Linked DNA regions of Drosophila melanogaster. Changing the gene in region 1 together with any one later gene gives a genetic interaction. Each region holds a gene or a part of one and is shown in the gene's direction. Other genes may lie near its edges.

Region 1 (3,753 bases):
TCCTCATCATCCAGTTCCAAGCTCAACGGAGGCGGCGTCGGCGGTGCTGTTTCCTCGAAAACATCGTAATCCATCTTCTGTTTCACCTGGTAATTAAATGCCTCGACGGTTTGTTTGTCTTCCAGCAAATCAGGTGGCTTTTCTCGAAATTCCTCCACGGGATCTGGTGGTGGAGGGGGTTCTAAAAAGCGAGAATTAACTGAGTATCACTTTGAGATTCGATAAATATCTAAGCTTGCCTTTCGAGCTGCTGACTAAGCCAAAATCTGAGTATTCGTCACCCTCGTCCAAATGGATGGTGGATTGTAAACCGGAATCGTCGTCTTCCTCACCAAAATCGATGGGCGGGGGGGTGCTGCAGAGCAGCGGTGGTACATTCACCATAATGCCAGCTGCAAAATTCAGTAAAAGGATCCCCTAAAATTCACTTCCTGCTTCAAGAAGAACAACAAAAACGCTGGGAACGGTTCGATCTTCTATCTCTCTCGCTCCACTTTATCACTGTGTGTGTGGTGTGTATGTGTGACGCAGGTGTGGAGGGCCTGCAAGTGTGTGTGTGTGTGTTAGCCACTCAAGGTCTGTGTTGGAATTTTCTTGTTTGCATTTAACACGCGTCAATTTTGTTGTGTCTCTGTATTATGTCTAATTGTCGCCTTATTGGTGGCTCTAAAAACAGATTTGCCGAATTTGCAAGTCGCGTTTTATCTGCAATTAGCCATGTTTTCCAGAAAACAATACTTTTTCCTCTGCCCACAGTGTGAACGTTTAACTTTTGGCCAACCGACAGTGCTGAAAAACGTTGCGCAACATTGATAACATACAAAATTTGAATCTTATCTTTTTCAATTCCCATTTTCGATTTAAATCATTATCCATAGTTCAGATAGAATAGTTATATTAGTTATATTTCTATAATAGATTTTTATTCTTTCCAATTCTTTTACCGTTAAAATTGTATTTGAAAATTATTAGTAACAAGAGTAAAATATACATGAAAGTCTAGGCTGCAGTATGTAATACGTCAAATTTTGTTGGGACACTAAACAACAAATAGTCGTCATAAAGGCTTCTTTTAAATTGTTATGATATTTTCCACAATTTCTGCATACTTTTTTAAGCTTGCTGGCAACGCCGCCACCGTACCAATACAACTATCGATAGCCGCCTGTCAGTTTTGACAGCTGTTTTAAGGTTATACTGCGCTGCCGTTGCAATCGCTCCACCAATTTGGTAATTTTGCTTATTTAACATCAAATATTGCATAAAACTAGGAAAACCAGGAATCTGTAAAGTGGAGCGAGACGGGGAACGCTATTAAGGAAGTCGGATAACTAAAGTACATCCTTTTCTTGCAGTTCACGGTCGGACAATTACATAACTTGAAGAAGAAACCATGTCGCAGGCTCCCGTTCGCGTTTCCCCGCTGATCAAGTTCGGCAGATGGTCCCTGCTCCTGGTGGGCATTGCCTACGGCGCCGCCCACCAGAGCCGCCTGTCCAAGAAGGAGGAGAAGTTGCGCGAGATCGAGGCACAGCAGAAGGCCGTCCGTGATGCCAAGCTCGCCGAGGAGAAGAAGCGCAGCGCAGAGGCTGAGGCCCGTGCCTTGGCTGAGCTTTCGAAGCCCACTCCCAAGCACTAGGATCCTTCAGGATGCAACATCCGCAGTTCCCTTAGCTTAAAAACATTGAAAAACCACAACATTTACACACGAAGTTCGCCCAAAAGGAGGAGCATCATCGATAGTGGAGCCACCATCTATCGATCACTGACTATCGTTTTTGTGTTTTCCTCTGATGCTTGTGCAAAAAACAGAATGTTCGAAATTAAATGATTGAAACAAAACCATTATGTAAATACTCTCAAGTGTTTCGTGTTTGTGATTAAGTGGTGTTCACTGGAAATATATTTATATTAGCATAGTGTTTGGATAGGAGAGGATTGAGAGAATTTGAGAGGGTTTGAGCTCCAAATTTGACTAGGAAGTACATATAAATATTTTTGCAAATTGATTATCAATAATTTTCCTAAATTTTGTTTTAAATCTTTTTTGATAAACAACAACTGATAGTTTACCTTATTGGATGCCCACTGTAGTTGCCAGCTGATTGGCCCACTTAAGATATTGGCGCCAACAGCTGATTTCAACCGGCGTTTATTTACACTTTCAATTCGCTCGCAAGTCGTCGCATGGCTCGGCTGTTTGATCAATAATCCCCCGGAATACTTCCAATTCCGGAGGTGTTGAGACACCTTTCGTGTTTCGGGGAGCCATTATATCACGCAATCCCATCGAGGACATGCCATCGCATCGCGATGACAAACTTTCTGGATCAATTGCCCAAGCATATCAGAGAAATCGCCGAGCAGGGTAAGAGTTTTGGGGTTCCAACAACTTTATTCAAGAGCCAACTAAATTCCTGTACTCCAGTTAATGTTCTCGCACCGGAGGAGGTGCTGACAACTCCCAAGGTGCGATTCCTGGACACCCGCCAGCAATCGCTGCACACAATCGTGCGAAAATGCACTCCGGATGATGTTAGGGTGCTCAAGGATGCGGCAGCCAAGTGGCTGGCAGAGATGCCCCAGTCAGGTGATTCTCAGACTAATGTATAAGTAGCCTCTTGTGTTTAGTTTGCCACTATTTATTACAGCGGATTCCCTCTTCAAGCCGCTTGTCAATGTTAGATGGTCGCGGGTGTCGTTTGGATGTTCCGCTTTAGATCGCTGCACGGGCGGGGGAGTGGTCACTCGTGGAATTACAGAGCTATGTGGAGCAGCCGGCGTGGGCAAGACCCAGTTGCTTCTTCAGCTATCCCTTTGTGTCCAGCTACCCCGTGAGTTGGGTGGCTTGGGCAAAGGCGTGGCCTACATATGCACGGAGAGTTCCTTTCCGGCGAGAAGATTGCTGCAGATGAGCAAAGCCTGCGAGAAGAGGCATCCCGAAATGGAGCTGAATTTTCTGGGAAACATCTTTGTGGAAAATCACATTGAGGCAGTGAGTCGACAAACCAATTTGTAGCCATATGCTTATTTAATATTAATCCAAAGGAACCTCTCCTGGCGTGCGTTATAAACCGCATTCCGCGACTGATGCAACAACATGGCATTGGCCTGATCATTATTGATTCTGTGGCCGCCATATTCCGGCTGTATAATGATTATCTGGAACGAGCGAGACATATGCGTCGACTGGCAGACGCTCTGCTCAGCTACGCGGATAAGTACAACTGTGCCGTGGTCTGTGTGAATCAGGTGGCCACCAGGGACGGTCAGGATGAGATTCCCTGCTTGGGATTGCAGTGGGCGCACCTAGGACGCACTAGACTGCGTGTTTCCCGGGTGCCCAAGCAGCATCGCATGGGTGATCAACTGATAACGGTGCGCAAACTGGAAATACTTTACTCACCAGAGACTCCCAATGATTTCGCCGAGTTTCTTATCACCGCAGAAGGTGTGGTCAATGTTCCAGAGCCATCTGTTCCCAGCCCACCCGCCAAAATGCGTCGACTGTGATTGATTGAATTTATTCTGTTTATTTTGTTATCGTTTAATTTGTTGAATTTAAAATGTGTAACGGCGGAGCGTTCAATTAGCCATACGATTGTCTTATACTCCTGTTAAATTCAGCGGAATATTTTAGGGTTTAATAATTTAAATTTACTTAGTTGCCAATCAGGTTTAGGTATCATTAAAATATATAAAAACAAATTTAGAAAACATGCTTTTCTTATTTCTTTTCAGGAACAAAAGGTT
Region 2 (3,753 bases), on another chromosome or scaffold:
TGGATCCTTACATCAGTGGAATATCCTTTATAGTAAGTGCATTTACTTATATTTGAATCTTATTTAACAAATTCTTTAAACAGCTGGTGGGAAGTTTTGTAACCCTTGTTTTGTTGGCCACCAACCGGACCAATCTGTTGAGCCAAGTGAATCGGGACGAGTCTGCCTGTGAGAGCTTCCATCGCCTCTGTGCGGACGAATGCGATGATGAAACGCTGAGCATGCTCAGTCAGCAGTTAAGTGGATACAGTGATATCAGCAATAGCAATTTGTCCATGCGAACCGCCTCTGTGTGCCACTCACCCGCCCCAACGATTTCCCAGCGAACAATTCAGGCGCCTGCTTCTTTGCTGTCCCTGGACTCGTTGCATCTGTCGAAGCAACGGATGGAACAGCAGGCTTGGTCCTCGAACTATGGAGATGCCTCTACAGTGGTTGCCCCGCGTGTCCAGCCGGCGATGATGTTTCAACAGAAACCCATGAGACCATTAGAGTCCCAATGGTATCGCCATGGACAAAGTAACCTGGCCCAAGGCAATACTTTCACTAGATCCACGCAAAATCTTTTGATGCCATCGCGTTTGCCGTCCATAAACAGGAACGTCGGCGGAGCTGATGTAAGCGCCTGGGTGGCGGCCAATCAAAGTGTGAACCAAGATCTATGCACTGCCAATCTAATGAGACATTACGAAGAGAAACAGCAGAATCAACTTTCCCGCACTTCGTCACAATCTTCTGGATTTGAGTCGCAGCCACGTCCAGAAGCCCAATGCGGAACAGGTGCTGCAACTGTAAGGGACTACGGCTGGTCCGAAGCCCGTGAGAGTCAGCGAAATTTCGCAGTTTTTCCGCCAATGCCGTCACCTACACCCACAATAACGCCTAGTGAATATCAATACTCGAGGACTGCTCTTCCGCAGCAACAGCCAACTATGCAGCCGGGGGATTTACTTAGGAAGTGGATTGAGATTAACTCAAAATCCTCACAGCCAATACACTAATGTGATGTGAGGTCATAAATATCTAGAAAAACTTAGAAAAAATTCTGGAAAAGATCACCGCCAGTTGGGAAATTATATAAATTTGACTTAACTTAATTATCAAATAATTTATTTTTGACTTACAGTTTTTAAGCTTCTTTATTCTACTAAAGGTTAGTCCTCCCTTTACTTATAATCGACTAAATAAGTAGTGTTTAGCTAGACATTCTTTAATCTGTGTAGCTCTAAGTTTCGTGGTTTTCAATATAGAACTTTTCAGGGAATTGAAAGTCAGGGAGTAAGATTAGAAGGTAATATAAATACTACTTGATTTTAAAGGGAGAATAAAGCTTTGGTAACTAAGTTATTTATTCATTGAAGACAATCATTCAAAGTTTGTTTTTATCGTTAACTAAACTTTTGTGACTCACATAAACTAGATAAATTGTTTATTATACAAATACATATTTTTTGAAATAAAAGCAAAACAAAAAAATGGTTATTATTTTGTTAAGTTAAGTGCAGTTATAAGAAAATATTCATTATCAAGTTAAATTCAATAATAACAGTGACCTGTCTTTTTGGTTGTTTTTCTCTTTTAAAAAATGTTATATTGTTCTCTTAGATTTCAGAACACGCTCTCTTAGTGCAGTGCTGCCAGTTGGTTAACGGCGCGGTGTAGAAATCAAAGTGGCCGTTTCCAAAGTCGGCACGGCACTTCAAAAATTCATACATTTGCCCCTGAAAGTATGTTGTTTATGTTGTTGTTAATATTGAACAAATATATTATGAATTTAAATTATCTTAATAAACAATTATGTATATAAGGTTGTGTAGCCTCTAACCATTCTCGAATGTAAAATTTAGCTGGTTATTTCAAATTACACATTAATCAATCAGTCTGTGGGCGCGGTTTTTAGATGACAGCTTGCTGTATATTTAGTATATAAGTAGTAACAGGAGAAAAAGTTTAGTATTTTTGAATACCGTCCAGCTGGCAACACTGCTACAATATGGCTGCCGTATCGTAATGTGAATTTTTTTGAGAGACCGAGACGTACATACTTTTGTTGCTGCCAAAGTGGATGTGGACGGAGGAAAATAGTAATATTTAACTGCGTTGCGGGAGCGGGACAATCGTCGTTTGCCAATTGCGGCCACCGCTTATGTCGGCTAATCGGCTATCAATAATATTAGTAATCGTATCAATATCAAGTTACCCATTACCCATCGCGGATACACATTAGTTTTGCGAAGGGCAGAGCAGCGCAGAGCATATAGCGAATATTTCCATTTGTTGCCAACAAGACTGTCGTTGTTGTTGTTATTATTGTGGCTTTTCAGTGACTGGGGAGAGCAGTGGGGGTGCGTTCGTAATCCTTGTGAAAAATCGGTGACCGTTCTTCTTAAAAAAAAAGCGAAAGAAAAAACCATCGCGATAAGAAAATATAAGAAAGAAAAATCTGATTGAAAACCAAAGAGCTGCTGCTACTGCTGCTGTGCGAGTGAGAGCGGTCGAGAGGTAGCTAGTGAGCGAGTGAGAAAGCTATGTATTGCATTTGCATTTCGTTGTGTGTGTCGTCGTTTTCGTTCGGTAAAAGTCGGTAAAAAGCAGAGCCTTTCCAAACCTAACCACTTTCGGGTAAACGGAATCGGAAAAGGAACTGGGAAAATCGAAAGAAATTAAATAATAATATGCGTTACATCGATGGCAACAACAACAACAACAGCAGCGACCATCAGCTAGCGACTCCTCTCTGAGCGAGAGAGCTAATAGCTTTTCAGCTTTAGCTTTTCTTGGGCCAATCGGAAATTGTATTTCATTGGTAAGTACAAGAAGTGGCAGCACCATAACCAGCAAATCAATACTTGGGCTGCCATTCCGTTTCGTTCCGTTCGTCAGTTTTCCTAGCCCATTCGTTGGCGCTCTCTCTTTTCCGTCAGTCTCTCTCTTTCTCTTCCCCAAAAGAGAGCGAAAACCCCCCGCCCGCCCACACTCGGTGTATGTGTGCTTTGTAATAACGAGTACACTTTTCTGCACATACGAAAAAGAAGGAAAAAAGAATAATAAAATAAGAAGAAAAAATGAAAGACCGAATAAAGAAATTCACATAAACTTATGGCACTCTCCCTCGCGCTCTCTTCATTTGCAACTAGTGTGCGTGCTTAAATTTTTAAAAAACAGTTGTTTTCACCGAAAGGGAATTTTCATTTCGATGGTATATTTTTAGCCAGCAAGCTCCTTTCGGAAATTATTTATAACCCCCCTCGAAATGTTTCCACGCAACGATTTACGCGATAAACTTTTACAAAATCAGATATAAGTAAGTGCAAAGACCACTTGATTTTCGTATAGTATGTAAGTCCACGAATTGCTTACGTATTTATGAAATATTACTGTGCGTAGGTCGGTGGGCGTGTTTCAACGTTTTAGCCCACAGTTTTCACTCATTTTCCTGCGGGGTTTCCGCTTGTGACAAAGGCATTCAAAGAACCAACAAGAAAATCCCGGGGGCGTGGCACCACCCATGCAATTAAATTAGACCAAAAAAGTGCTTACACTTTGTATTCTAGAGAATGTTTCAAATCATTGAACATAAACAGAAGAATTCATGCGAATTTAGAACTAATGGAAATTGGGAGCAAGGATACATAAAGTTGGAGGAATTCAAAAATGTAATTGTTTAAAATTTAAGCGTTAGTAACCAAGTTCTTGTTAAAATATATGCCGCTTAATTAAGTTTAAATCTGTTATTCACAAGTAAAATTATAT
Region 3 (3,753 bases), on another chromosome or scaffold:
TTAGCTCGGTGGATCCCTGGTCCACATTACAAATGGTGTGTGCCTTTTCGATAGCCTGAATGGTGCTCTTTAGCTCCTCCTTGTTTAGCATGCGCTCAGTCATTGGTCGCTTTTTGGCCGGCTGGTCGATGACCGCGGACGCGTAGGCTAGCAGAAACATATACTTCGGTTTGTGCTCGGGATTGATTTTAACGCCGGAACGAAAGAGCGCGTCTACCAGTAGCTCCAGAAACTGGGGGTTTCGTATCAAGTCGATGGGCGGTGGATCGGAACCGGAGTAGTTGCGAAACAGCACGGTGATATCGGCGGGATTCAGTGTATTGCGGGTGAGCATGGAAGTTAGGGCTTGACATGCTTGCGGATAGACTGCCGAACCATTCAGGGCCATTGTAATAGGCGTTACATTTTGATTGCTAAACAATGAAGCAAAAGAAAGGATTTATGTTATGACTAACTATGTGGAATCGTCAGTTATTTTCATACTTCTGCAGGGCGTATTTAATAATTTCCTGAGAGAGCCGCTTCATGTTGAACCCACCCTTCTGCTCCTGGCTGAGGACCTGGATGAGCACCTGGGAGTATACGTAAGTGTGCTGGCCATGGCAGACCATTCGTGCGCACTCCTGAATGGCACCGTGCACATCATCCGGATTGTTTAGAAATTTGACGATCGAGGTCTTTAGAACCCGCGAGAAAACCTCAATCTGCTGTGCCGCTGTCGAAATGGAAGTGATCTCGCTCTGGAAGCCCGCGTCCGAGATCAACTTGATTGTAAAGTTCAGCATTAGACAATCGGGATATTCTTCGGCCAGTCGGTAGATTAGCGAGCGCCACGTATAGTGGTCGATCATCTCGGTTAGCCAGTCGGGCGTCTCACCCTCCTCCGTGAATATGGTGTCCGCCTTCTTGGGATCGAAGGACTTAAGAATCATTTCCTTGAGATGATTCTCCACCATGGCCTGGACTTCGGTAACCTTGACGCCCGCCAGGATGAGCCATTCCGCAAGCAGGTTGGCCATCTGGGCCACCGCCTTGTAGTTCTCGGATAGCATCGATATAACCTCCTCCGGAGATCCGCCCGACTGAAAGTAGCGCTTCAGCTGCGTAAATATCCCCGGCTCCATGATGTAGTCCGGTGTGAGGAACTTCTCCAGGCATTCCTGTATCGTCTTCTGCGGATTGTCCTCAAGCGTTTCCTTCGATTGGGATGGGATAACATGATGTTTAGTTGTTATTTTTTATGGTTTATCTAGTAGCGTCATCAAATTGCCGGGATTGCCTGCCACGCCGTACACGCTCTATACTCAATTACCTCCGGATTGGTTTGTCCTTTGGCGCGGCCCTGCCAACCAGAGTCGTCGTATTCCACTTCCATTTTTTCTCAAAAACTTATTTACAATAACATAAAAATATTTTTCTTATTTTGATTAACTATGCATTTTTAGTGTGACTGTAAATTGTTAACCACGACGCGCACACCTACGCGGGTTATGCGCCGTTTACACTTAGCAAACTCTTCTGTTAATTTCATATTATGCAATGTAAATCTTAAATTTGAGGAGAAAAAGAAAATTGTCAATAAGTGTAAAACGCGGTAATGTAAACATATATTAACTAATTTTTTTTTAAATTAATATATGTAAAATCGCAGTTGGAACGTGGCTGTTATTCAAGAAAAAGAAGAAGAAGCTGCCAAACATATCGATAGCCACAAGTGCGGCGAATGCCGGCTTTCGTAAACAAAGGTCGCGTTTTTGCGAGTTTTAAATAAACTTGGCAAAATGTCGACACAACGGAAGGATATGTGGAAGTTGCTTTACAACCACGTAAACCGGAACGTAAGCAACTTTTCCGGCGTGTACAGCGTTATAGAAGACATATTGTGCCAGGAGCCGAGTCTGATAAGCTGTTCGTTGGTGCGGGAGCTGCACAACAAATTCCAGGACACATTCCTACTCTGGCTGCTCAACAAGCTGGCCAAGTGCCTTAGTGAATCTCCAGATAGCAGGTAAGATGAGCCACAAGCATTGGACTCCAAACTTATGACACACCGTTTTTCTGCTGCAGCGAGTGCATCAATCTTCAAAGGAAAATACTGAGCTCCTGCTGTTCCAATCATCCTAAGCTTTTTGAACGCCTTGTACTGGCCTATGTGGAAGCCATTGAGGAGACGCACCTTCAGCTAAGTTCCCTGGACCTCGGCCAATTGAGTAATGAGCGAAAACCCGCCATAACTGTAAGAATATTCCGATGCGATGTGGAATGCCTGCAGGAGTTCGATCCGCACTGCGCTATCGAGGACATCAAGGTGCCCCTTGAGCAAGCCGACATGTATGCCAAGAGCCTGCTGGAGGTCCTCCAGCATGCCCATCACATTGGATACGCCACGCACGGCGACATCTTCTCGGGCAGCCTTCATCAGGCTCTGCTAATCCTCAAGGAGTGCGACATGGACACAAAACTGGCCAGCTTGAATTACTGTCACAATGTCCTACGATCACAGTCGGCCAGCAGCTGGATAACAAATCCGGACGTTGGACATTATGCGCAATTAACGTTGGAGGCGACGGCAATCATGTGGTCGGCAGTAGCCAAGTGGCTGGACATGGGATGTATGACGCGCCAGGAGCTAAAACGGCTCAATATAACAACAAAGCTACTGCTAGAAGTTCTGCATATGCGTGCACGTCCAGCCCACCATCTTGGCTACCTGCTTTTGAACGAGATCCTTAGTTTGCCGACAGCCATTGAATTGGACGATGGACTGCTGGAGACCCTAAGTTCCTATATTCAAGGCCAGCTAGAGCATTCGGTTGTACCATTGGAGCAACTGGTGCACTTGCAGCAGCTTATGTTAAGCCATTGGCACTGCCACCCCACACATTTGGTGCCCATATTGGCGCTAATGGGCTTGAAACAGACTGAGATGCGCTCAGGAGTGGTCCAAGTGCTTACCCAAAGTCTCGTTGAAATCTTGAAGAAGGAAGAAGTATTGTCGAAGGATTGGCAGAAACTGATTGCTATTTTACGAGGCTTCAAGCAGCTGGAGAAACTAATTCTGTCACAGAGTCAGCATAAAATAGCTGAGCACGAAGGTCACATCGATTCCTCAGTTCTGGCCATGTTACCGCTGCAGTGTGAAATCATAAAGGTTGCGGATACCAATTGGAATAACCTTTCAATGCAGCTGGTTGAGCTGGAATCAAAGTGTTCCGCAGACCGAAGACACATACACTTGGAAATCTGCTCCCTTTTGATGCAAATCACCTTCATCCGGCACTTTTTAAAGACTCAAACGCAACACCAGCTGCTGGCCATTCTTCAGCGACATTTGAAGCTGTCCTACCTTTGCGCCATTCGCTTGGAGACACCTTCTAGTGTTCATACCCAAATGCAAAGCTTCTATGCCCAGCAGTACATGAGGCTATTTCAATCCGAGGAGACACAGGAGATATTCTGTAGCAACCTTCCGCAGTTGTACATATCGGGTTTCATAAAGCCGGAGCAACTGATGAAAGCTCTGCCCACCATTAACAATCGTAGTGGCCGCGCTCAAGTTATACGCCTATTGCTCTGCTCCCAGCCAGGTAAATTGAGTGTCTTTAAAGTCAAAGATCGCATTGAGCTATACTGCCCGAAATGCAGGCCACTGCCAAAGAAACTGCCAGGTATTTACCTCGGAAAATGCAAGCAACAGCTGCCATGTCCAGACTTTTCAAGCACCAACCTCGAAATGATAGCAAATGATTTATT

Evidence for each region.
Region 2: of spn-B (region 1) and mei-W68, changing one suppresses a phenotype caused by changing the other (phenotypic suppression), as found in Drosophila melanogaster (3 studies listed by BioGRID).
Region 3: of spn-B (region 1) and mei-41, changing one suppresses a phenotype caused by changing the other (phenotypic suppression), as found in Drosophila melanogaster (2 studies listed by BioGRID).

The regions. Positions count from the first base shown.
Region 1 is NT_033777.3:14,325,898-14,329,650, forward strand, and holds spn-B (spindle B), read left to right. Parts: upstream 1-2,153; 5' UTR 2,154-2,313; coding exon 2,314-2,368; intron 2,369-2,428; coding exon 2,429-2,590; intron 2,591-2,651; coding exon 2,652-2,995; intron 2,996-3,048; coding exon 3,049-3,513; 3' UTR 3,514-3,711; downstream 3,712-3,753. Other genes in the region: Afti (aftiphilin), read right to left, coding at 1-181, 240-384; ATPsynE (ATP synthase, subunit E), read left to right, coding at 1,394-1,639.
Region 2 is NT_033778.4:19,454,170-19,457,922, forward strand, and holds the start of mei-W68 (meiotic W68), read left to right. Parts: upstream 1-2,000; 5' UTR 2,001-2,806; intron 2,807-3,753. Other genes in the region: CG7744 (uncharacterized protein), read left to right, coding at 1-32, 84-1,001. UniProt on the Drosophila melanogaster protein: Required for meiotic recombination. Together with mei-P22, mediates DNA cleavage that forms the double-strand breaks (DSB) that initiate meiotic recombination.
Region 3 is NC_004354.4:16,389,980-16,393,732, forward strand, and holds the start of mei-41 (meiotic 41), read left to right. Parts: upstream 1-1,718; 5' UTR 1,719-1,781; coding exon 1,782-2,008; intron 2,009-2,067; coding exon 2,068-3,753. Other genes in the region: TH1, read right to left, coding at 1-413, 484-1,196, 1,313-1,375. UniProt on the Drosophila melanogaster protein: Serine/threonine protein kinase which activates checkpoint signaling upon genotoxic stresses such as ionizing radiation (IR), ultraviolet light (UV), or DNA replication stalling, thereby acting as a DNA damage sensor.